Linked DNA regions of Tamandua tetradactyla. The protein of the gene in region 1 purifies or fractionates together with the protein of each later gene. This does not show direct contact. Links are inferred from orthologs where the notes say so. Each region holds a gene or a part of one and is shown in the gene's direction. Other genes may lie near its edges.

Region 1 (7,425 bases):
TTTTAAATTTTTTATGACAAAAACTTCTCACAACATACAAATATTTACAACATGTACATTACTTTCAGTTCTTCACACTGAATTTCAAGGTTAAACATTTTTATAGATTACCACATAACAAAAGCTATGATTCTTGTTTTTATTTCATTAACTATTATAAGTTAAAGTGAATAGAATTTTAAATATTCCTTGTAGCATTTTACAAGTGCAACAGAAAACTTACAGAACCAAATTAAGATAGTTATAGTTCATCAGATAAATATTGCATATTGTCATCACATTATTAACAATAATTTTTGAAAAAATAAGCACCAACCATTCTTTCAAAGAACACATTTTTAAAAATTTTTTATTTGAGAAATCGTCACACACATACATTCTATACATGGTATGCAATCAATGGCTCACAATAACATCACATAGTTGTGTATTCATCACCATGATTATTTTTTAGAACATTTGCATCACTCCAGAAAAAGAAAGAAAAAAGAAGAAACTCATACATACCATACACCTTACCCCTCCCTCTCATTGACCACTAATGTTTCCATCTACCCAATTTATTTTAACATTTGTCCCCCCTATTATTTATTTATTTTATATCCATACTTTTTACTCAACTGTCCATTCTGGGGATATAAGAAACACCGGACGTAAGTTTCTCACAATCACACAGTCACATTGTAAATGTTATATCTTTATACAATTGTCTTCAAGAATCTAAGCTGCTGGAACACAGCTCAGCAGTTTCAGCTACTTCCCTCTAGCCACTCCAATACACCAAAAACTAAAAGGGGTATCTCTATAATGCATATGAATAACCTCCAGGATAACCTCTTGACTCTGCTTGAAATCTCTCAGCCAACAAAACATTGTTTTGTCTCATTTCTCTCTTCCCCCTTTTGGTGAAGAAGACTTTCTTAGTCTCTTGATGCTGGGTCCCGGCTTATCCCAGGCTTTCTGTCCCACATTGCCAGGGATATTTACACCCCTGGAAGTCATGTCCCATGGAGGAGGGAGGGCAGTGAGTTCACCTGCTGAGTTGGCTTAGAGAGAGAGGCTACATGAGAGCCACAAAAGAGGTTCTTTGGGGATGACTCTTAGGCCTAATTTTAAGTAGGCCTAGCCTATCCTTTGTAGCAATGTTTCATAGGGGTGAACCCCAAGATCAAGGGCTCAGCCTGTTGATTTGGTTGTTCCCACTGTTTACAAGAATATCAGAAATTCTCCAAATGGTGAGGTTAAATATTTCCTCCTTTCTCCCATTCTCCCAAGGGAACTTTTGCAAAGAACAATTTTATTTAAAAGGATTGAAAAATATTAAATACAAGGCCTTTAATTTATATGACAAGCCATAAATACACTGTATGAAAACATCCTGCATACTGTTACCCTTGTATATATACTGTACTGAACAATGACCCACCACACATGTAATTGTACTTTTTTCTTTTAAGAAACCAATTTGACTCCTACCAATGGCTTGCTACTTTACTGAAGGCCACAGTGGTCTCATTCCAATCATAGGCAGGCTGTATAGTTTTGTAGATTTTGCTTTGGTGTTGTCTTTAATAGTGTTTTATCTTAACACGAGCAAATGTAGGAGCCAGTTTAGTTGACTGATTCTGCAAGTGCTATTTATATTAATTCTTTGGCATAGTGCAGTTGATTTGATGGCTGAACCCTTTCTAATAAGCATCTTCTTTCTGAATTCTGTTGCTCTATAGGGAGCTAGAAGCTGCAAAAGGTGATCATGTGAAAATCCTTGTATTGTAGTTCAACAAAGAGAATATTATAACACTGGAACTCTGTATTTTAATTAAAGAGCTCTGTGTCTGTCTATAATTTTCCCTTCCCCTCTTTCTTTCTCCATATGAACATGGTCTGTATGTTTGCGTGTGCATCTGTGTGTATAATGTTCACATCACTTCTGTTTTCCACCCTTACTCCCTAAGTGAGGCACAGGGCCAGTCCTGTCTATGCATCTCTTGTGGTCGAGTTGGATCTGTAGGCTGCTGAAATTGTTAGAAAAAATTGGGGAGTTCCACAATAAGTATCTTAAGAAGCCACAACTATCTCTAACTCAGAGCTGTCCATTACATGTTAACCGTGGGGAAGACATAAAGATGGATGCCTCTCCTTTCACATTCTTGGTGAAACGACCAGTGGTGACTAAGAAAGAACTACCATATTTCCAGGCTACATGTGTCTAGACTGGTTCATAAAGAATAAGGAAAAAGTAAAAAAAAAGAAGGGGGGGATAGGGAGGGGTGTGTGTGGGTGGGATACCAGGTCCTTGAAATCCTATTGAACAGCATGATGTAGAGGTGGAAGCCATTTCATCCATTGCTCAGTAAGGCGATGGCTAATGAGAGGTTTACTTCCTCAGACCCTACCCCAACACAGACACTTGGAAAAGATGAAGGCTTCCTTTTGTACAAACTGGATTTGTTCTAAAAAGAGAAAGAGCAGAGGCAGTTTCCAGCAGGATGTGTCTTGTAGAAATAAGAGCAGAGACCAAGACCAAAGCAGATGCTGGATCTGAGCAGGGAGTTTGCAACAAAACTAAAGGTAACAAGCTACGTGTGCTTTACTAAAAGAAAACACAACTGGATGTGGTTTCTGATTCTGTTTACTGATCAGGCTACTCAATTCCTTTAGGGCTTTATTTTATCTTCTGTAATTTGAGTTTTTTATTTTGAAAGGGTACTTTTTTGAAATTTGTCATGGAAGCAAATGTGATTTTACAACAGGGATCTCAATGAGTTGGCAGCTCCTGAGAATAGAGTGTAATTATTGGTTTTGCCATTACTTCTATGTAAATGAATAGTTCTAATGTTAAAAGGAAGTTCTTTGGAGTTTCAGCTGAATCTGAATGTTAGAAAGGACTCTGATTGGTTGGAAACAATATCAATATGTCATTTCAATCAAAGGCCAGGGAATCAGGGAAGAGAGGTGTTGGTCAGGGAATGGGGAAAGTTTTGCTCCCTTGTGCAATTTTTCTGAAAATATGATTTGCAAAATATTGAACTAATCCACAACCATAAGATAAAGGAGGGTAAGTGGCAAAGCAAACATTCTGAACATTCCTGGTGTTTCTTTAATCATTTTGTCTCCTCAGTATGATCGTAGAACCTTCTACACCTTAGAAAAAAGCAGAATAATGAAAAAAAAAAGAGTAAAATAATGGCACATATTGCTTTGAACTTTGAAAATAACCACTTTGCTTGACAGTAGAGAAAAATTGCCAATTTTATTTTGTTTCCATAGTGCCACCAAAAGCACAAGGAGTTTGGTTCAAATAATAATAATAAGCCTCACCCCTCCATAGGAAAAATTATCCACCTCTAGCAAAATTTGGATGGGAAGAGGGACTGGTGATTTTTCAGTACTTATTGGTGCTCTATTTTTTGTGATAATATTTAAGCTTTCACTTTGTCTTTCTAATGAAAGTTTGGAATTAGTAATATAAGATTGTGCATTAACTTAAAGTGAACAATTGATACAAAGTTTTGTTTTGTGTAAATAAAAAAAGTTTTGATGTCAAACAAAAAAGTTTGATGACTTTCTTTGCCTTTCTGTATTTCAGTTACTTAAACTGAAACTTTCTGTAATATTGTAAGTTTGGAGAAGGCTAAACAAGGACTTATTCTTCATAAATGATCAGAGACAGCAGTAAGATAGTTGCAATACCTTTGCGTGATGTTGTCTAAAAGAACTAATCAAAGCAAAAAGAAAAAAAAGCCAAAGGTCAAGAACAGAAACAACCATATCCCCACTGAATTTTTTTTTCAACTTTAGAGCAAAGCTTCCATCCTTTGTAGCTCAGTAGGTGATGGGCAAAATCAGTTGGGTGGCAGGTAGTGTTTGTCCATAACTACAGGTGCAGCCTCCTTATCCTTATTAGACCTCTTGGTTACAGACTCTTAATAGGACACAATTTGAAAAATTAAATTCACTGTCTAGGAAACTGGGAACTGAGGCTTCAATATCTCCCTCCGTGAAGTTCTGGCACTTACATTATCCCTTCTGGGATTTTTAGGGTCAACAGTTACACAGACTTTTGCTGTTCACAGATCTTCTTCCATGTACCATAAGAGTGATTAGCGTAAAGTTGTCTCTGGACATTGCCAAGGACACAGGTACATGCCACTTGACATCCAGAGCAATTCATTGCCTTACATGAAGACACAATGTAGGACCAAACTCCCCAATTCAATATCCATTAAACGCAAAAACTGACAGAGCTGTTGACTATGAAAGGAGGATACCAAGGTAGGGTTTTCATGGTCTGTTTCATTCAAAACCAGGGTTAAACTGAGGTAGGGGTGAGGATTGATGTACTGGATCCTCAGAAACTGTTATTATCAACAGCACACAAGTGAGCTCCAGAAAGAAGCTATGGCTGCAGTGATCCTGGAGAGCATCTTTCTCAAGAGATCTCAGCAGAAAAAGAAAACATCACCTTTAAATTTCAAGAAGCGTCTCTTTCTCTTGACCGTGCACAAACTTTCCTACTATGAGTATGACTTTGAACGTGGGGTAAGTTTTTCTGCTGTGAAACCTGAATTTCAAGGGGTTGGTCTTAGAAATTCCTTAGGGAGGAGGTAGTAAGAGCAAGGTAAAATGGACCTAAGTACAATTAAACTTAGCAAAACTCAAGAGAAGTCATGATTAAAGGCGGTGGGGGATGGATCTTAACATGGAATCTTGTAATTGGTGAGCATTCATTAAATGATTGTTGAGAATGGAATCCAAGAGTTGGAAATTGCTTCCTTATTTCTTATGATAAGGCACACACATCCACTCTTCTATAGTGTTTGTCCTCCATCTGGTTGTCAAAATGGGTTAGATTAATACTTTCAAGATGACAGGTCCTGATATAGAGTGTGGGTGTCACCTCACTATGTAGAATGATTAGATAACAAAATCTAATCATCTGGTTGCCCAATCACCCTTAATCTCTTTCTCCATTTTCTTCCACATTCTCTTTCTCAGAGAAGAGGCAGTAAAAAGGGTTCAATAGATGTAGAGAAGATCACCTGCGTTGAAACAGTGGTTCCTGAAAAAAATCCGCCCCCTGAAAGACAGATTCTGGTAAGAAGAGATGATTGTTTGACATAGAGAAAGAGAGAGCGTGAGATTTTAAGAAATTTGGAACATTTAGATTTTCTGTAAGTAATCTAGTGGTGCTGTGAAACACAGTAAAATGCCCTTACAAAGTTCTTCACTCTACCACATATTGATTATACTCTCAGCATCTTTCCCCCAGATATTTAGATCTAGATCATTTAACCTAGAAAACTTCTAACTTCCTGTTTCAAAATGCTGTTATATCTAGTTTTCAACCTGGCCAGAGATAACAGTTACTGGGCTCAGAATCAGAGGTTTGAGATAGTCTGAATGCAAGAATCCTAAGGCTCTGAGTAATAGGAGATGCACTGATATCTTACTGTTTATTCTCCCCTTGTTTCCCAGAATCTTTCTGGTGCATAACACCCAGTGACTGCTAAGTTGAGTTTTTTATTTTTTCATATTTTTATTGATAAATCTTCACATACGTACATTCCATATATGGTGAAAAATCAGTGGCACACAGTCTCATCACATAGTTGTGTATTCATCACCACGATCATTTTTTAGAACATTTGCATCACTCCAAAAAAAGAAATTACAAGAAAAAAGAAAAAACTCATACATACTATACCTCTTACTCTCCCTCCAATTTGTTTTTAACATATCACTTCTTTCCAGATTATAACAGTAGTGTATGTTTATTAAGAAAATCTGAAAACTATTTTAAAATGATAAAAAAGTAAATACAGTCATTTATAATATTATCACCCAGCTAAAACAGTTATATCTATACAGACTTACAAAATGTTTCTCTCTAACAACCATGTATACACAAACTCAATTTACACATACATTCAGTTTCATATATATGATAAATATTTAAACATAAAATTGCCTTTGTAATTTACTTTCTCAATTTAACAATATATGGTAACTGTTTTCCCGTGACATTAATTATCTTTAATAACATGATTTTAATGACTGCATTGTATTCCCTATTATAGATATATAATAATTTGATTATCTAATCTCCTGTTACTACACATTTAGGTTGTTTCCAATGATTTGATATTATAAACTATGTTGAGAGAAGTATCCTTGCAAACATTTTTGGTTGCTATTCTTATAATAGAATCCTAGAAGAGAAATTTTCTTTTTCTTTTTTTGTGAAATTGGCACACTTGGTTATTTTTATGTCTTTATTCTATTTTATTTCCTGGAAGTGGAATTTGAATTTCATGCAGTTCTACTAGCTGTGTATAAGAACTCTTATTTTTCTACATTCTTTCCAATACTTGGTATTATAATTTATTTTAAACGTTAGTCAGTTTGACAGCCAGAAGAAATAATATTTCATTGCTGATCTATCCTGCAATTTTTTTAACTTTTTTTATTAAAAAAAATTAACAAACAAAACATTTAGATATCATTCCATTCTACATATACAATCAGTAATTCTTAATATCATCACATAGTTGCATATTCATCATTTCTTAGTACATTTGCATCGATTTAGAAAAAGAAATAAAAAGACAACAGAAAAAGAAATAAAATGATAAGCAAAAAAAAAGACTATACATACCATACCCCTTACCCCTCGCTTTCATTTACCACTATTTCAAGCTGAATTTATTTTAACATTTGTTCCCCCTATTATTTATTTTTATTCCATATGTTCTACTCTTCTGTTGATATAGTAGCTAAAGGGAGCATCAGACATAAGGTTTTCACATTCACAGAGTCTCATTGTGAAAGCTATATCATTGTTCAATCATCATCAAGAAAAATGGCTACTGGAACACAGCACTACATTTTCAGGCAATTCCCTCCAGCCTCTTCACTACATCTTGAACAACAAGGTGATATCTACTTAATGCATAAGAATAACCTCCAGGATAACCTCTTGACTCTGCTTGGAGTCTCTCAGCCATTGACACTTTGTCTCATTTTACTCTTCCCCCTTTTGGTCGAGAAGGTTCTCTCAATCCCTTGATGTTAATTATCAGCTCATTCTACGGTTTTTCTCAGTCCCTTAATGCTGAGTCTCAGCTTATTCCAGGATCTCTGTCCCACGTTGCCAGGTATCCTGCAATTTTATACTACTAGTAAGGTTCAACAATTATTTATATGTCTACTGCTTATTTACATATTTTCATTTGTGAATTACCTCTTAATGTTTTGCCCATTTTTCTATTAAGATGTTTACCTTATTCTTGATAATTTTAAGAGATCCTGACATATTAAGAATATTAATTCTTTAACTACAATATATGTTGAAAATATTTTTCCAGTTTTTCCTGTATGATTGATTTTGTTTATGGTTTTTTTTTGCTATATTGGGTTTTAAGG
Region 2 (8,105 bases), on another chromosome or scaffold:
TTACATCTTGACTAACAAGGTGATACCTATTTAATGAGTAAGAATAACCTCCAGGATAACCTCTCCACTCTGGAGTCTCTCAGTCATTGACATTTTGTCTCATTTCTCTCTTCCCCCTTTTGGAAGAGAAGGTTTTCTCAATCCCTTCCTGCTGAGTTCCAGCTCATTCTAGGATTTCCTAACTGCATCTTAACTTGTATTCTTTCTTTCATCATAAACATTTAAGGTTCTTGTCCTTGCCCACAAATATTCACTCATTCTAAAAACACAAGGCCCTCTCTCTGTAATCTAAAAGAACAATTCTTGAATTGTTAAAAATATAATTCTCATGTTTATATCTTTTTCATTAATTTTATTTTATAATTTCCAAGATTTGAAAACATTCCATATAGCAACGACTCCTGCTTCTACCCTCCCCGTAGCCTGGTAACCCTTAATCTTCTTTCTGTTCTCTGCTATTTCTAAATATTTCATATAAGTGAAATCACAATATTTGTCCTCATGTGCCTTGCTTATTTTGCTGAGCATAATGCTGTCAAGGTCTGTCCATGTCATAGCGTGTCTCAGAATTTCATTCCTTCTTACAGCTGAATAATACTCCGTTGTAGGTATGTACCATATTTTATTTATCCATTCTTCTATTAATGGACACTGGGTTGTTTCTGCCTTTTGGCTATAGTGAATACTGCTGCTGTGAACATTAGTGTATGAATATCTGTTTAAGTCCCTGTTTTCAATGAACATTAGTGTACGAATATCTGTTTAAGTCCCTGTTTTCAATTTCCTTGGGTATATACCTCGGAGTGGAATTTGCCAAATCATATACCAATTCTCCATTTAACTTTTTGAGGAAATGCCATACTGCTTTCTACAGTGACAGTACCATTTTACCTTCCCATCATTTTCTATATTTTGATTGGGTTGGTAGGTACAGGAGTGTATATATTTGTCAAAAATCATTGACCTGAACACTTAAAATGTGAAGGTGTTATCATATGTATGTATTTTATGCTTGAATAAATTTGACTTTTCAATTATAAGTAAAATTGACAACAAACGAACCAAAAATTATTTTAGAACTTATATGATAGACAAAAAATATATACTCTTAATAAATTAAAATATAATTCTATCACAAATAGAGAGTGTGCACATAGTAGAGCTTATTTAATCCTTAAAGGAACCAACAGTGTGACAGAGCTGGCTCGAAAAGAATTTGAGGATGGATAGTTATTGAGCAAAGAAAAGCTGTTAGATTGCTAAGTTAGATCCAAACTTAAATCATGGTCTAAGGGCAATAAAATTGTAAACATTGGGATTATCTTCTCCGTTGGAAAAATAAACATCATTGTACCTTATCCATTTTCTTCAAGTTAACCTCTAACTTTACGAAATTCTAAGACAATTCTTGGTCTAAATCAAGTGTTAATCAAAGTTAAGTTTTCCCCAGAGAGTCTGATGTCTCTTACCTGGCCTTATTAAAAAATGCTCTAGCACAATATTAAAAATGCTCAAGCCCAATATTTAAAATCACAGGATCCCCATTCGCTATATTTTCAGATATTAGGTAATTTCCCCACACACTAGTTTTCATTATACTACTTTTAATAAAGACAGAACTATTTTAATTTCCTGTTAACTCTACTTAAAAACAACAGCCAAGTATGACAATAAATAGCAATTGTCTTCAGCCTCGGCGTGGCAATAATAGGGAGTAGTGGGGACTCTAGCAAACCAGCGCACCATGCCCACTCAAAGGGGAGAGTTGCTATGCAGCTCCAGCAACTGTTGCCAAGTAGGAAAGCAGGCCTTGCTTTGCCAGAGATTCCCATTTCTAAGAGAACCTGTAAGTCAATATTTTTTTCTGTAAAAGCTATCAATCTTTAAATGCTGACAAGCAGTTCAAATTTCTGAACAGGTCGATAGGGTTTGGGAAAGAAAGAATGAAAGGAAACTCAACCAGCTATTTCTAGCCTAAGGGGCCAAAGATGTCAATATCTGACCTAAAAATAACCCTGTCAGATGGTAAGACTGAGGCCCAGAGAGGAAGACCTTGCCCAAGTCACAAAGTGGCAGATTGGACTTGGATTCCCAGGCAGGCAAAGACTTTTTTTTTTATTTGAGGTTATTATTTATTACCTATTAAATAATGCAATTTTTATTGGTAGGGTAGCTAGGGTTTGAAACTGGTTCTAATGTTTTTTTTTAATTTATTAATTAAAAAATTAAGAAACAAAATAAAACATCAACATACATAATTCACATCATCACTTAGTTGCATATTCATCATTTCTTAGAACATTTGCATTAATTCAGAAAAAGAAATTAAAAGACAATAGAAAAAGAAATAAAGCGAACACAGAAAAGAAAAAAAAAGATTATACCTACTATACCCTTTACCCCTCGCTTTCATTGATCACTAGCATTTCAAACTAAATTTATTTTAGCATTTGTTCCCCCTATTATTTATTTTTGTTCCATATGTTCTACTCCTTTGTTCACAAGGTAGCTAAAAGGAGCATCAGACACAAGGTTTTCACAATCACACAGTCACATTGTGAAAGCTGTATCATTATTCAATCATCCTCAAGAGACCTGGCTACTGGAACACAGCTCTACATATTCAGGCAGTTCCCTCCAGCCTCTCCATTACATCTTGAATAACAAGATGATATCTACTTGATGCATAAGAATAACCTCCAGGATAACCTCTCGACTCTGTTTGGAATCTCTCAGCCATTGACACTTTGTCTCATTTCCCTCTTCCCCCTTTTGGTCGAGGTTTTCTCAATCCCTTGATGCTAAATCTCAGCTCATTCTAGGGTTTTTTTCAATCCCTTGATGCTGAGTCTCAGCTTATTCCAAGATCTCTGTCCCTCGTTGCCAGGGAGGCCCACAAGACAATGTTACTGGTATTTTCTTTGTCTCCTATTAGGTGCTTTATGTTTTATTTGCTGACTGACCAAATATAAATGGCTCGTGTGTGAATGAATGCTTGCAACACCCTCAGGGTCAAGTTCCAGCCAGTGTGATGTGCCCACTGTCATGTAGGATTTGTATGGTCTTAGCCAGCATCCTACCCTTATTAGTACATAAGGTACATGTACATAACGTTTGTTCCTTTCCTCTGTTTCCTTCTAGCTACAAATAGGGTTGGATTTTGTCTTTACTGATTATGGGGCAGAGGAGAGTTCAAGTTCCAGTCTGAAACTCTGAGGCTAATGAACGGAATCCACACTCAAACACAGCTCATTCTTCCCATTCCAACATTCAAGTAATTCCTGCAACAGATGGAGGGCTGGGCCATGCGGTTTATGCCTCCACAAATTTGACTTTAAATTAGAAGTAAAATTAACAACCACCTCTGTTTGTTCAGGGATCCTGCTTAGATTCAAAGTTTTCTGCTGAAGCAAACATCTTGGTAGGCAAGATGGTGTGGAGATCAATCTTTCTCCTCTTGATAGGAGAAAGAAAACAGTTCCAAAAATAATTGGATCCAAATTAGGAAGGGTCTTAACTACCAGCATAAAGGGTTTAGACTTCAACCTGAACTCAGTGGGCAAACAAGTTTCTAGGAACTTGAAGAGATTTGCCAATTTAGGCAGCATAGATACTTGTCATTTGAGATTCTAAGAAGAGAGAATGGAGGGAAGACTGTTTTGAAGGTCATTACTTGGAAAAAGAGGAGGAATAATAAAGTTTTTTTCAGGGGTACATTCATCAGGAGTGAGGTGTAAATGCTCAGATATCACTTAGACTTCCTGGAGTCAGGTTTCCTGCAGGCTCTTCATTTATGAAAGAGGGGAGTGTGGCCTTGGGCGGTGGTCTGGATTCAAATGCCACTTTTAACTGTCTTGCTCTGTACCCTTGTACAGTTCACATAATATTTCAGGGCCTCAGTTTTCTGATCTGCAAAGTGGATATAATAATATCTAAATGTATATCAAGCCCTTGGTAAATGGTATATGTTCAATAATATTTGTTTCTTGCCTGTTTCCTTCTAGCTACAAGTGGAGTTGGCATGTGTCCTTACTTGTTATCGGACAGAGGAGGAGAGTTCAAATATACTATTTTTCTACAATGATAATTCTCATAACGGTGTCCCGCAGACACTACAAAATCTGGAAGTGCTTTTTTCAACTGTCAGGAAGATTACTTTTTAATTGGGTTGGCTGACAGTGAGAGGGTTTATGTGGTGGGAAAAGTCCTTGACCCAAGAACGCTGGGCATCCGTGAACAGGCCACTTGTCTCTGTGATTTTGTAGTGGGGCGCACCCTTACAATTTCAGTTCTTCATCTATAAAATAGGGAGGTTCCTCCTTGCCCACCTTACAGAAGTGTTTGCGGGGCACAAAGACGTGAGAATTCTTCCAAAACAGTAATGGTAAATTCACGGTTATCTGTCTGGTTGCAGAACACTTCCTTGCTCCCGGATTTGTCCCTGGGGACCGTGAGCAGCTCAGTGGGCACCAAGTCTGATCCTGTGTCCTGGACGTGCAGCCGCTCTGTGACCGACTCTCGGACTGAAGTGTCGCTGTAGTGTCATTACGTTAATTATAACGCTTTGTAAATCATTAGTGATCAACGCGCGGGGGGGGGGGGCGAGAGACCGCAGACTAAAGAGAATCTATCACCCTTAGAAACTATTACTCCACAGCCCCACATTTTGACATACTTTCACTTTCCTTCTTGGACCACGCATTGGGAAGAAGTTCTTTTTCTACGTTCACACTCCCTCCCTCCCCGCCTTCTTATCTTTCTTTGGTGAATGGCTGCTGCTCATCTAAATGTAATTGGCTCCAGCCCCTTCCCACTGTCTTTCCCATAATCCGACGGGGGAAAATTGAAGAAAAAAAAAAGAATGTCTTAGACTCTGCTGTTTTATTGGCTCCGGTAGCGACGTACGTACGCGTGGACCGTGGGCACTTCAAATTTTTTATTGGTTTCTTTGTCCGCCAGTCACAGTGCCAGAAACACTGTCCAATCCTTTCGTGCGTACTATGCCCTCCCTTCCCGATTGGCTGTCAGGGTTTAGGCTGGAAGGGCTATCATTGGTCCGGAAGACCCGAGCTCGTCCCCCGCTGAGGTGCGGTAGTTGCAGGCCGGGCCCGGTCTTCTGGCTCACTCGCTGACAGCGCGGCTTACGGCGGAGGGAAGTGGGTCGGTTGGTCTGTCGGGAACGAGGCTCCCGCGGCTAGGCCCGCGCAGAACCGTTACCATGGCAGCAGCCGCAGGGGGCGCGGAAGATGAGCCGCGCTCGGGCAGATCGAGCTCGGATGGCGAGTGTGCGGTAGCCCCGGAGCCTCTGACTGGTCCCGATGGCCTCTTCTGCTTCGCCGACTTCGGGGCGGCGCTGGGCGGCAGCCCGGGCCTCCCAAGTCGGTCGTCCAGCGGGGCCCAGTCCCCGCTGCGCTACCTGCACGTCCTGTGGCAGCAAGACGCGGAGCCTCGCGACGAGCTGTGCTGCAAGATGCCCGCCGGCCGGCTGAGGCGCGCCGCCAGGCCCCACCGCCGGCTCGGGCCCACCGGCAGGGAAGTCTACGGTGAGGAGCGGAGCGGGCTGGCGGAGCGCGAGGCAGGCGGCCCGTCCATGCCCCCCGCCCCTCCCCGGTACCCGGGACCCTGGCCTTCCCCGTCACTCGCAGCCTGGAACTCCGGGACGCCCGGGCTAAGGCCAGAATGACCCTAGCGCCTCCTTTCAATAACTGTTATTATAGTTGCTAAGGACCACGAATTTTTTTTTTTAATGTCTTACTTCTCCTAGCCTGTCATCACTGACCTTCACACTTGGTAGTTCCTAAGTAGAAACTTTCATGACCCCAAGTATTTATTAGTGGGCAATAAAAGGGAATACCAGAGAATACTTTTATTATCAGAGAGGGGAGGCCAGAGCTCGTAACCAAGTGGTACCCAGTTGTTTAGATGTGCAGACCTGGGATGGACTCCTCTACCTTAGGCAAACTGTTGAGCCTTTCAGCCTTAGTGTTCTCATTTGTACAGTGTGTACAATACCTGCTTTACAGGGCTATTGTGAGAGTTCAGTTAAATAATGAATGTATAACCATTAGACCTCCTTTGCTGTGTTCCAGACACTGTTTTGGGTGATATGGGGTAATTTTTAATTCTCACAGTAATTCTTTGAGATCCAGATATTGTTCCCATTTTATTGAAGAGGAAACCAAGGCACAGTGACATTGTTTTGCTCCAGGTCCTTAGCCAGAAAGAGGCTGGGCTGGTATTAGAACCCTGGTCTGCTTGACTCTAAAACTCCTACTTTGCTGTATATTTACCATACTAGCTTTTACATTTAATGGCTGACAGGGAAACCAAGACTCTGAAAGATTAAGAATGGGGCTTCTTGTGTCCCCTTTAGGACTAATCTGTGATTCCACCGATATTTTAGGGGTCTTGTGAAGATTAATTGAGAATTTGAAAGTTCTGTAAAACCATAAAGTGCTATAGGAATGTAAGGAATTTTTAACCACTTCCCTGATGACAAAGCTATTGCTTTCTACTAGCCTCTAAATAGAGTTGGTGTCAAGGGAGGGGAAAAATGCTTTTGCTTAAGAATGACCAAGTTTAGGTAAGTCATTTGGGAGTGACCTATTTTGGAGGAAGTATAATAAGAAGATCTGTGTAACTAGCTCAGAAAGAGCTTCTAAGTAAATTATCTATGTCATTTCATCTTTCCAACAATTCAAGACTGGCAGGGTCGAACTTAACCTTGTTTTAGAGATGATGGACCTGAGACCCAGAAGGGTTAACTAAACTTGCCCAAGTTCACCTCACTACTATAAATGGCAGAGCCAAGATCCAGAGGCCTTGGAGGATTTGCCAAGCATGCGGCCTCTACCCTAGTGCCACATTTCAAGTTTCTCCTTGTTCCCAGTGTAGTATCTCTTGTAGCTAGCAGTTTTCTTCCCTTTAGGTGCTATTATGGCTGAAGAGTGGATTATCTCCCATCCACTTTCTGCTTCATCACACCTGTTTTGTTTTTTTTTTAACTGGAATTCCTTTACTCTTGTCATAGCTCTGAAGAGGCTCCGGGACTCAGCCAATGCCAATGACGTGGAAACAGGTGAGTGTGCACATTGGGCCTAGCTCCAAGGACCTGTGGACTGGTTTGGGGAAGGAAAAATCCAATTAACACATTACCTGAGAAGAGAGTGCTTTAATTCAGCCTACCAGGTTACCCCTAACTCGAGGCTCACTTTGTTTACTGTGTAACTTTGCAGTCAACTTGTAGAAGGTGAATCTGGCTTAGATGCTTAGTCCCTTATGCTCCCCTATTACCCTGAACTTCCTGATGTCATATAATTTATCACCGCTGGGCTCATTGTCTGCTTTTACACCCCTGGCTCCCAGCGCAGTCCTCCGCAGAGAGTTATTGCTCATTTTTCAACCTCTGCGTTGGGAATGAACATTCAGCTTTAACTGCCAGGGGTCGGGTAGGCAGTGCCACCACCTTTAGCCTACTCACTGAGGCTTAATGGTAGTTGGGTCGGTCCCTGGTTCTCAAACTTCAGTTGACAGAGCATTTGAAAAGCATAGGTGGAGCTCATAGCAGAACACCACTGTTGTCTGGTTTTTTTTTTTATTATTGCTCTCCAGCATCTGCCAGCTGACAAGGCAGTAGCAACATCAAAGATGCAAAGAAAATTTATAGGAAAACATTTTTTAATTTTATCCACTAATATAATTCCCTCTGTGACTTGGGGAAAGTGATATATTCGTTTCCTATTGCTGCTGTAACAAATTGCCACAAACTTAGGAACTTAAAACAATGCATTTCTTATCTTAGAATTCTGTACGTCAGAAATCCAGCACGGGTCCCACTGAGCTAAAATCAAGGTGTCTGCAGAGCTGCATTCCTTTCTGGAGGCTCAAGGGAAAAATGTTTTCCTGCCATTTCCAGCTTGTCCTAACTACCCACGTTCCTTGCTTGTATTCCTCTTCAAATCCAGTCACAGTAGGCTGAGCCCTTCTCATGCCATCTTTCTGGTTCTGGCAGCAGAGACAGTTTCTCCAGTTTTAGGGACTCTGTGATTAGATTGGGCTCACCTAGAGAATTCAGAATAATCTTCCTATCTCCAGGTCCTTAACCT
Region 3 (7,773 bases), on another chromosome or scaffold:
AGCTAGATAGAGAAAACCCACCACCTCCCTTTCCCTATTTCCCTTCAACCATCCTATATAAGCTGTGCCCCATTCTCCGCTCACTGCTGTCGCCATCTTAGGCATCAGTCCACCAGTGCATAGCCTCACAGTAAAACTCCTTTAATCGAGTTGAGTTTGCATTTCCTCTCCTTCCTGTTGAAACACCTATCAAGCGCACTCCCAGACGCCAGGTCTTCACCCTGCAGTTGGTTGGGCTGTCCCTGTATGAGGGTGCCCAGCTATGGGAACAAGCGGGGGCTAAAATCCAGCCTTGCTCTGTTTGCAGGTTGAACGCTCTGACACAGAGCAGGGTCCACCCAGACAAAAGGAGCACCTGTATTTAATTTGTACAAAGGGACGCCATTGGTTTTGAAAACCACCTTTTAACAAACTTTTTGCATAACCTGTAAAAAATTATGCATGTACAAGAACAAATGTATGTATGTTTTTCTTCTCCCCAACTATACACATTGTTCTGCATTTTCCATCCTTTCCTCTTTTTCTTTCTTCTTCCTCCTTTTATTTTAAACTTAATATCTCCTGGGGATTTTTCTGTATCAGCAATACAGATCCAAGTTTCTTTCTTTTTATATTTTTTTAAGGGTCTGTGGTATTCCATTTTATGGCTCTATCAAAATTTATTTAACCAGTTCCCTTTTATTGACTGGATTTAGGTTGTTTCCAGCTGCTTTGGGGCAGAGGCAGGGAGGATTGGGTCCATGCAGTCCATAATACTGCAATAAACATCAATGGCAAAGTTTTGGGACAATTCACAAATTCCCAGCAGTGGAATTGCGGGGTCAATAAGTATAGATGTTTTAACTTTTTTGACAGAAAGCAATTGCAACAATTCACATTCCCAAGAATATCTGTAGTCTTGCACCCTCACCAGCCCTGGATATTATTACACTTGTTAATCTTTGCCAATCTGATAGGTAGAACATGATATCTCATTATTGTTTCAATTTAGATTTCTTTAAATCATTGATCTATTGGCCACTTGCATTTCTTTTCTATTAGCTATTTGTTCATATCATTTGCTCATTTTTCTATTAAATTGTTCATCTTATTTTACTGAGTTATAAGAGTTCTTTATAAATCAAGAAAATGTTTAATGTTACTATTACATGTTACAAATGTTTCTTCCAGGATGGCATTTGTATTTTGATTGTGTGCTTATTATTTCAAATATTTATATAGTCAGATTCATTAATCATTTTCTTTATAGCTTTTGCATGACAGTTTTTCCAGTTTCTACCTAGCAGAGATTTAAAAAAGTCTTGCAACCTAATTTCCGCCTATATTTTGTCCTTCTGGGTAGCATCTATCCTTGTAATGTGGATGCTCCAAGGACAGTCAGTGATGAACAGTGAGGCCTCTGATAGGAACAGAGAACTTCATGGTTGTCCAACTGTCATCTGACTTCATTCACAGTGAAGTGAGTTCCTTGGCTGGCAAATCTGACCAAGTGATGGGGGCTCTAGCATTGCAGGAATTTACCTTTTGGGCTTTTCCATTCTTTGAGTTCAAATCACAAGGCTACTTGAGGAGCCAAAATTCCCTGCCATGTTGAGTTTGAGGTTTTCTGGATATTTCTCTGATAAGATGCCTGCAGAATCTGGACTATGATATCCTCCTCTAAGAGTAGCACTGAGAGCCAAGGACTGCTCCCACCAGGCCCAATAGCTTGGCAAAAGTACACCTTGCCTCCCAACTGTCCTCCTTTTCATAGTAGATTCCTCGAGGCTGGACTGGGAATTTAGCACTGGAGTAGTTTTAATGGACAAAGGCCATGGATTCTTTTGCCCAACATGCTCCATAACCAATTCCTGGCATGCCGGGGTTTCAAAGAGAGAAAGAGTTTATTACTAGGCAAGTAGCAGGAGAGCAGATGGCCTAGTGGCCCAAAATCTGTCTTCCTGAACTGTGGTAATTTGGATAGTTTTAAAAGAGAAAATATGGGCAGAGTTCAGGATAATGAGCACAGTGGCCCCAGGTGATGTAATTAGAGGGGATCTGATTACTGGGGATGCACAGGTTGATCACATGCTTAGTCACAGAACATATGTAAGAAAATGGTGGAAGAAGATATAGGTGACTTGTAGGTTAAAGTCTAAGCTACTGCACATGTCCAGCAGTTCCACTTTGATTAGATCCAGTCTCAGTCATCAAAAATAACTTTGAACTTGGGAAGGGTTAGTTCTGGGCAGACCCAAGACCCTTCATTAATAAACATTAGGGGCCGTCTTTAGTGATTACTGGATAACTGGGTACAAATGAAAGTTAGTCCCAAGGTTTTTACAATCACAGGGGCAGAAGATAAGGGCTATACAATCATTATCAGAGATTCAAGGCAGCTGGATTACAATTTAGAAATTCCAGGAATTTCCTTCTGTCTACTCCAATATACCAGAAAGCAGAAAGGAATGTCTATATAATGATTCAGTAATCAAAATCATCTCTTAAATCCTGATTTCTAGGTTGTAGTAGAACAGAAGAATGATTATTTCTGGGCTTCTTCTACCTTACACCCCTAATTTCAGGGGCTTTGTCATACTGTAAGACAACTTCATATTTTGGGAATGGGGACATGGGAGGAAGTACTGGGGAAGAGACCAGGGAGCAGGGAATTGCCAGCTCCTCTGGGTCCTCCCAATATCTGCATTTCAGTTGTCACCGTCTCTGACTTTGCCAGCAAATAATTAACTTTGACAAGAGAAACCTGGCATAACAAAGCATTAAGTTGACATGACTGGGTCTGGTGTTCAGTGATTTCAAAGGGTGGCTACAATCAGCCAGATTTTCTCTCATAAAGCAACCTAGAACCAGAGAACAACCCTTTCTCACTGCAAACTGCCCAATGCTATGAGAAGTGGCCATCTGCCCTACATTTTGCATCCTTTTCCCTATTAAATTATTCTAAGGTAGGAGCTGCTAAATCTCAAAAGCTTCATCTTTGGTACGCACTTATCTAAGAGACTTACATAGCTTCATAGCTGTGTCATCAAGGCACATACGCTGTTAGCCGTCCATTCCAGACTGTGCTGATGGTTGTATGCATAATCTCATTCCTGGTACCAATTTCTGATTTAGGCTCATTTGATTGCGTGGGACATCAGCCAGTTCCAAGAACTTTGAGCACAAAATAGGTTTATGTTAAGGACTGGAAATGGAATGAAAAAGTGTTTGGAATTTAGAGACTACTAGGGAGTTCTCCCGGAGTTTTCCTACACACCTGTTCTGTCCTTAAGTTATGGACCAGTGCGGGGCACTGTACCTTTCCCTCTCCCGCAGGAAAGGTGAGGGATATTTATCCAAGGTGCCCAGAGAACATCAAAGCAGAAAAATCAGCTTCTATAAATATTAAGCTAAGGGCCACCAGGACATGCCTGGAAAAATCCAAAATTCCTCTCCTTCCTCCCCTCTCCTATCTCCCTCCTCCCTGACCCCCTTTCCCACCTTCTCTCCCTCTCCATCTCCTTCTCTCTCTCCTGAGTCTTTCTTATTTTTACCCCTTATGTTGTTTATTAGGTTATTCTATGGGATGACCCTAGCCACTTAACTAAAGTAGCTTTCAATTGAAAAAATGTCTTTAACATTTAGTTCCCCACTAAATTTAAATGGCTGCCTTAAAATCAGAGTAATCTCCTTCTACTGACTGACACCTCTGCCTCACGTGTCTCCTGAGCACAGATGATCTGTGAGGTAGAATTCCTGCCTTCACAGCCTGAGGCTGGCCCAGACAGCTCAACAGATGGGACACAGCCCAGGGACCACATTCCTTATACAGTCAGCCATGCTTTCTCTTTCCATCTGAAGTAACAGATGTCAACGTAATCAAATATAATACACTCTATTTTATATTCAAGAAGTGTTTAAAAAAATCATCCTAGTTATATAACGTAACTGTATAATAATTACTAATATTTCATGTTTAATTTTGTTTCTTACAGGCAACTTCAAAAGATGGTCCATGATATCAAGCACAACGAAGGTGGAATAATGAACAAAATCAAAAAGTAAGTTAAACATCAGGGCACTATAGAAACCATTTTAATATGTCAACCAGTGCTAAGTGGAAGAATAGAAAGTTCTGTTACCCGAGTGAGGAGTTACAAGATCTTTGGCCTGTAACGCTCTCTCACTCATGACTGAGTCCCTGCCGGTTAACCACAGGCGAGTGAGTGGGGGGGTGCCCGGGGCACTGTGCCTTTCCCTCTCCCGCAGGAAAGGTGAGGGATGCTTATTCAAGGTGCCCAGAGAACATCAAAGCAGAAAAATCAGCTTCTATAAATATTAAGCTACGGGCCACCAGGACATGCCTGGAAAAATCCAAATAAGTTACAGGAACAGAGTCCTTAGCTTCTACAGTGCCAGGCTGTTTGCTCTATTTTGATTTCTGTTCTCTCAACTATTGCCTTAAAGTGGTATTTTCTGCTGATACTTGGAGAAGAAAAGCTTGAATCTCAAATGTCCTATACACCAAAAACCTCTTAAGCCTTTTTTTAAAAAAGAAAATAGAAATGTACATATCTGCATTTGTTACTCAAAATGTAAGAGGAAAAGCGATGTAATATTTTGTAAGAATTTTGTTTGCTTCTTTTCTTTTTTCTTTTTTTTCTTTTTAGTGAAACATAATACATATTCACCAGGTAAAAAAAAATTAAAGAGTTGAGAATTATATGAAGTAAAAACCTCTCGTTTCCCCATACCTCCACCCTAACCCACTCTTCCCAAACAGATATTATCATGAGTTTGGCATATATATATTTACACACACACACACTGACACAGATATAGTACATACCAATACACATAAACCTTCTCTTCATGGATGGTATCATCTTATACAGACTGTTCTGCTAGTTTGCTTTGTTGGTTTGCTTTACTTAATGCTGTATCATGGGCGTTTTTATCTTTGTAAAAAAAAACTATATTCCTTTTTGAACTCACGATTAATAGTCTGCTGTAAATGCATTATGGCCTATTTAACCAATTTTATATTGGTGGGCATTTTTAAGGAGGGTGGAGATTCAAATTGGTACCATAGCTTTGGAAGGCACTTTGATAATAGAAATCTAATTTTTTTTTCGCTTAACTGTCACAAATAATACCGTGATAAATATGCTACACACTTTCAATACCCAAGTAAGCTAAATTCCTGAAATGAAATTTCTGGATGAAAAGTTGTATGCCCTTAAAATTTTGATTACTATCACCAAATTTCCCTAAAACATTTTGTATCACCAAAGAGTTCATTTTCTCCATGCCTTCAGCACAGAGTATTTTCATTTTTTTATCTTAAGTAAATTTATAATTAAGAAGTCACTTTGGGTAGTGATGTTAGACTAGAATATGTAAAAAATATAAAGGAGTTTCACTTAGTGTACGCGATCATCATAAAATAGTGAAAATGTGCCCCTGCTTGTGGGATAGTGGTCATCTTAGAAAGACTTTTGTCTTTTTGTTCTGGGATATAACTGGGAGAGGTGTGCAATTACTTTTATTTTGATGTTATTTCTGATACGCATAGAATCCCATTCAAATGAGGGAACACTGCTGTTGATTGTAACAATGACTGTAAATTCTAGATCAATCGATCTAGAATCCCATAGTTGCCAATTTTACGATACACCAGCTTCCTCAATGATATGGAGCTTTTGTACAAAATGTCCCTCAATTCCATGGTAAGTCATCATCTTACAGTAACCATAGATCAAGAGTTTTCTTGGACAGTTTCCATTTCAAACATTCTGTCCATTGTCCCCAAAAGTGCTTTTACTTGACAAGCCATGTTTTTTTCCAGCTTGGTTGGGAAAATGTGGCGGCCATAGTCATTATTCTGGGAGAACTTAATGACCCTTTGGTTCAAAATGAGGTGCAGTGAAGCTCTCGCTCGAAACCATGCAGCAGGTGCTACCTTGAAAGGAGGAAGCACGGTCGAGCACCCTGGTTCTTTTACATAAGACTGTGACGGAGTCCTCGCTGGTCTGTGGCCAAGTGAGAAAATAAGAACCTTGAAGTATTAGAGTTCGCTGTGCAGCTGCAGGCTGCAAGCAAGATCCAAACCCTGGCCTCTAGTCCCTGTCGGTGCTCAGTGGCCAACAGTCCTTCCTTAAGTGAATCCTTTATTCTGAGATTATAACCTCCCTACATTTAGAAATATTAAAATACCATTTTAAAACCCCATTTAAAATGCAATTTCTTTCACAAAACGATGGCAATATAGTAGCTGGTTTGTGGGTTTTGTTGTTTGTTTTGTTTAGCTTTCCTGGTCCTTGAACAGGCCTTGCACCATATCCAGTTTTTTCATTTTTTTTTCCCTGCAATACCTTGTGCAATCTCTCTCTGGGCCTCATCATAGGAATAAGGGTAACATTTTCCCAGCACACCCTGATGGTTTGCTACAAGGATTGAATAAAATGGTATGAGAGCCTTTAGGGTGACAAAGAGCAGAATTGCTACACAAGTACAAATCTTTTATTTTTGAAAAATTATAGGTTTTATTATTTTTATGGTTTGTAGGGGATTTTTTTTTTATAACAAAACATGAGTTTTGGGATACTTTTCTTTTGCAAGAAATGAAATGTATTTTGTATGAAATGATTATTTTATTTCATAGATAAATGTAATAAATGCTTCTATAAAAGGATATGAAGTTCTGGTAAATGTTACTTGATATTGGTTTTATTTATAATTTATAAATTTCATTAAGGAAATAATTTAAAATGATATTTTAAAGAGTTAAATTACTGAAAATATATAGATTTATTTTGTTATTTAAAATACATAAACTATTATTAAGATTAATAATGTTCTATAAACCTTGCCTATTTCAAATAATGGAAAGGTAGATATTAGAACTTATGAAAAGTCTAAAAATTAGAATACTTTTTAAAAATGTAATTTTAAAAAATTTTTAAATTTTTAAAATTTTTCTTCTTTTAATGAGTTAAGAAAGACTTTGAATATTCAGCACACTTGATGTGTTAAAAGTAGTTTGGAAGGTGCTTGAAACTGTTGGACTTCTAAATAAACTAAATGTCACAGTCCCCAATCTTGAAATATTCACTGCACATTGCTCAGTAATTTTTTTTCCAATGGTGCAAAAAATAATTTCAGCCCAATTTATAACTGAAGTGCTCATTCTAGCTAATTTTCTTCTGTTATTTAAAGATTTGCAAACCATTAAAATATAGTTCTTCTTCTCTCCTGCTCCTATCACCCAATCACCACATCGTCCTTGAACCTCTGACCTCAGTGCTTCATGGTACCCTGACCTTGTGCAGCCTTTTACTGCCAGTCTTGGCCTTCGCTATGTGGCAGCCGCTTTGTGCACTGGGAGTTGGGGAGAGGTGGGAACTCCCTGAGTTAATGGCTTCACCATTATTGTCTTTAAATGTGATGTGCCCCAAATAAGCTATTATTCTATTAGTCATCAACCTGTTATCTTTATATCAGCTTCTATCATGACACCTGTTGTCCTATTCTCTAACCATTTGTTTAATGGTTATTATCTACAGGCTGAAAGTCAAAGCACCTCCAAGTGTTCCCCAAAGGGACTATGCTTCAGGTAAGAAAGAGTGTTTCTAAGATACATTAACTTACGCTTGACTCATTTAAATGCTCATATTTATTTGTTGAAAAGGGAAATAAGTTCTCATTTGAAAACAAGTGCCCATCCTAATTTTAAGAATAAGCAAATCTATTAGGTATTGCATTTGACTAAACTGGAGATGCAGTACTCCATCC

The links.
Region 2: the proteins of BTK (region 1) and ANKRD54 purify together in Homo sapiens (affinity purification with mass spectrometry; 4 studies listed by BioGRID and IntAct, counting the BioPlex papers as one, with this or other methods). This does not show direct contact. The link is inferred for Tamandua tetradactyla from reciprocal best matches to the Homo sapiens genes BTK and ANKRD54.
Region 3: the proteins of BTK (region 1) and BLNK purify together in Homo sapiens (affinity purification with western blotting; 5 studies listed by BioGRID and IntAct, with this or other methods). This does not show direct contact. The link is inferred for Tamandua tetradactyla from reciprocal best matches to the Homo sapiens genes BTK and BLNK.

Annotation. Positions count from the first base shown.
Region 1 is NC_135353.1:72,132,198-72,139,622, forward strand, and holds the start of BTK (tyrosine-protein kinase BTK), read left to right. Parts: upstream 1-4,377; 5' UTR 4,378-4,401; coding exon 4,402-4,542; intron 4,543-4,998; coding exon 4,999-5,097; intron 5,098-7,425. UniProt on the Homo sapiens protein: Non-receptor tyrosine kinase indispensable for B lymphocyte development, differentiation and signaling. Binding of antigen to the B-cell antigen receptor (BCR) triggers signaling that ultimately leads to B-cell activation.
Region 2 is NC_135333.1:30,208,082-30,216,186, reverse strand, and holds the start of ANKRD54 (ankyrin repeat domain-containing protein 54), read left to right. Parts: upstream 1-5,053; 5' UTR 5,054-5,218; coding exon 5,219-5,543; intron 5,544-5,614; exon of another isoform or gene 5,615-5,790; intron 5,791-7,030; coding exon 7,031-7,078; intron 7,079-8,105. UniProt on the Homo sapiens protein: Plays an important role in regulating intracellular signaling events associated with erythroid terminal differentiation.
Region 3 is NC_135339.1:57,439,207-57,446,979, reverse strand, and holds the start of BLNK (B-cell linker protein), read left to right. Parts: upstream 1-4,765; 5' UTR 4,766-5,532; coding exon 5,533-5,708; intron 5,709-7,544; coding exon 7,545-7,594; intron 7,595-7,773. UniProt on the Homo sapiens protein: Functions as a central linker protein, downstream of the B-cell receptor (BCR), bridging the SYK kinase to a multitude of signaling pathways and regulating biological outcomes of B-cell function and development.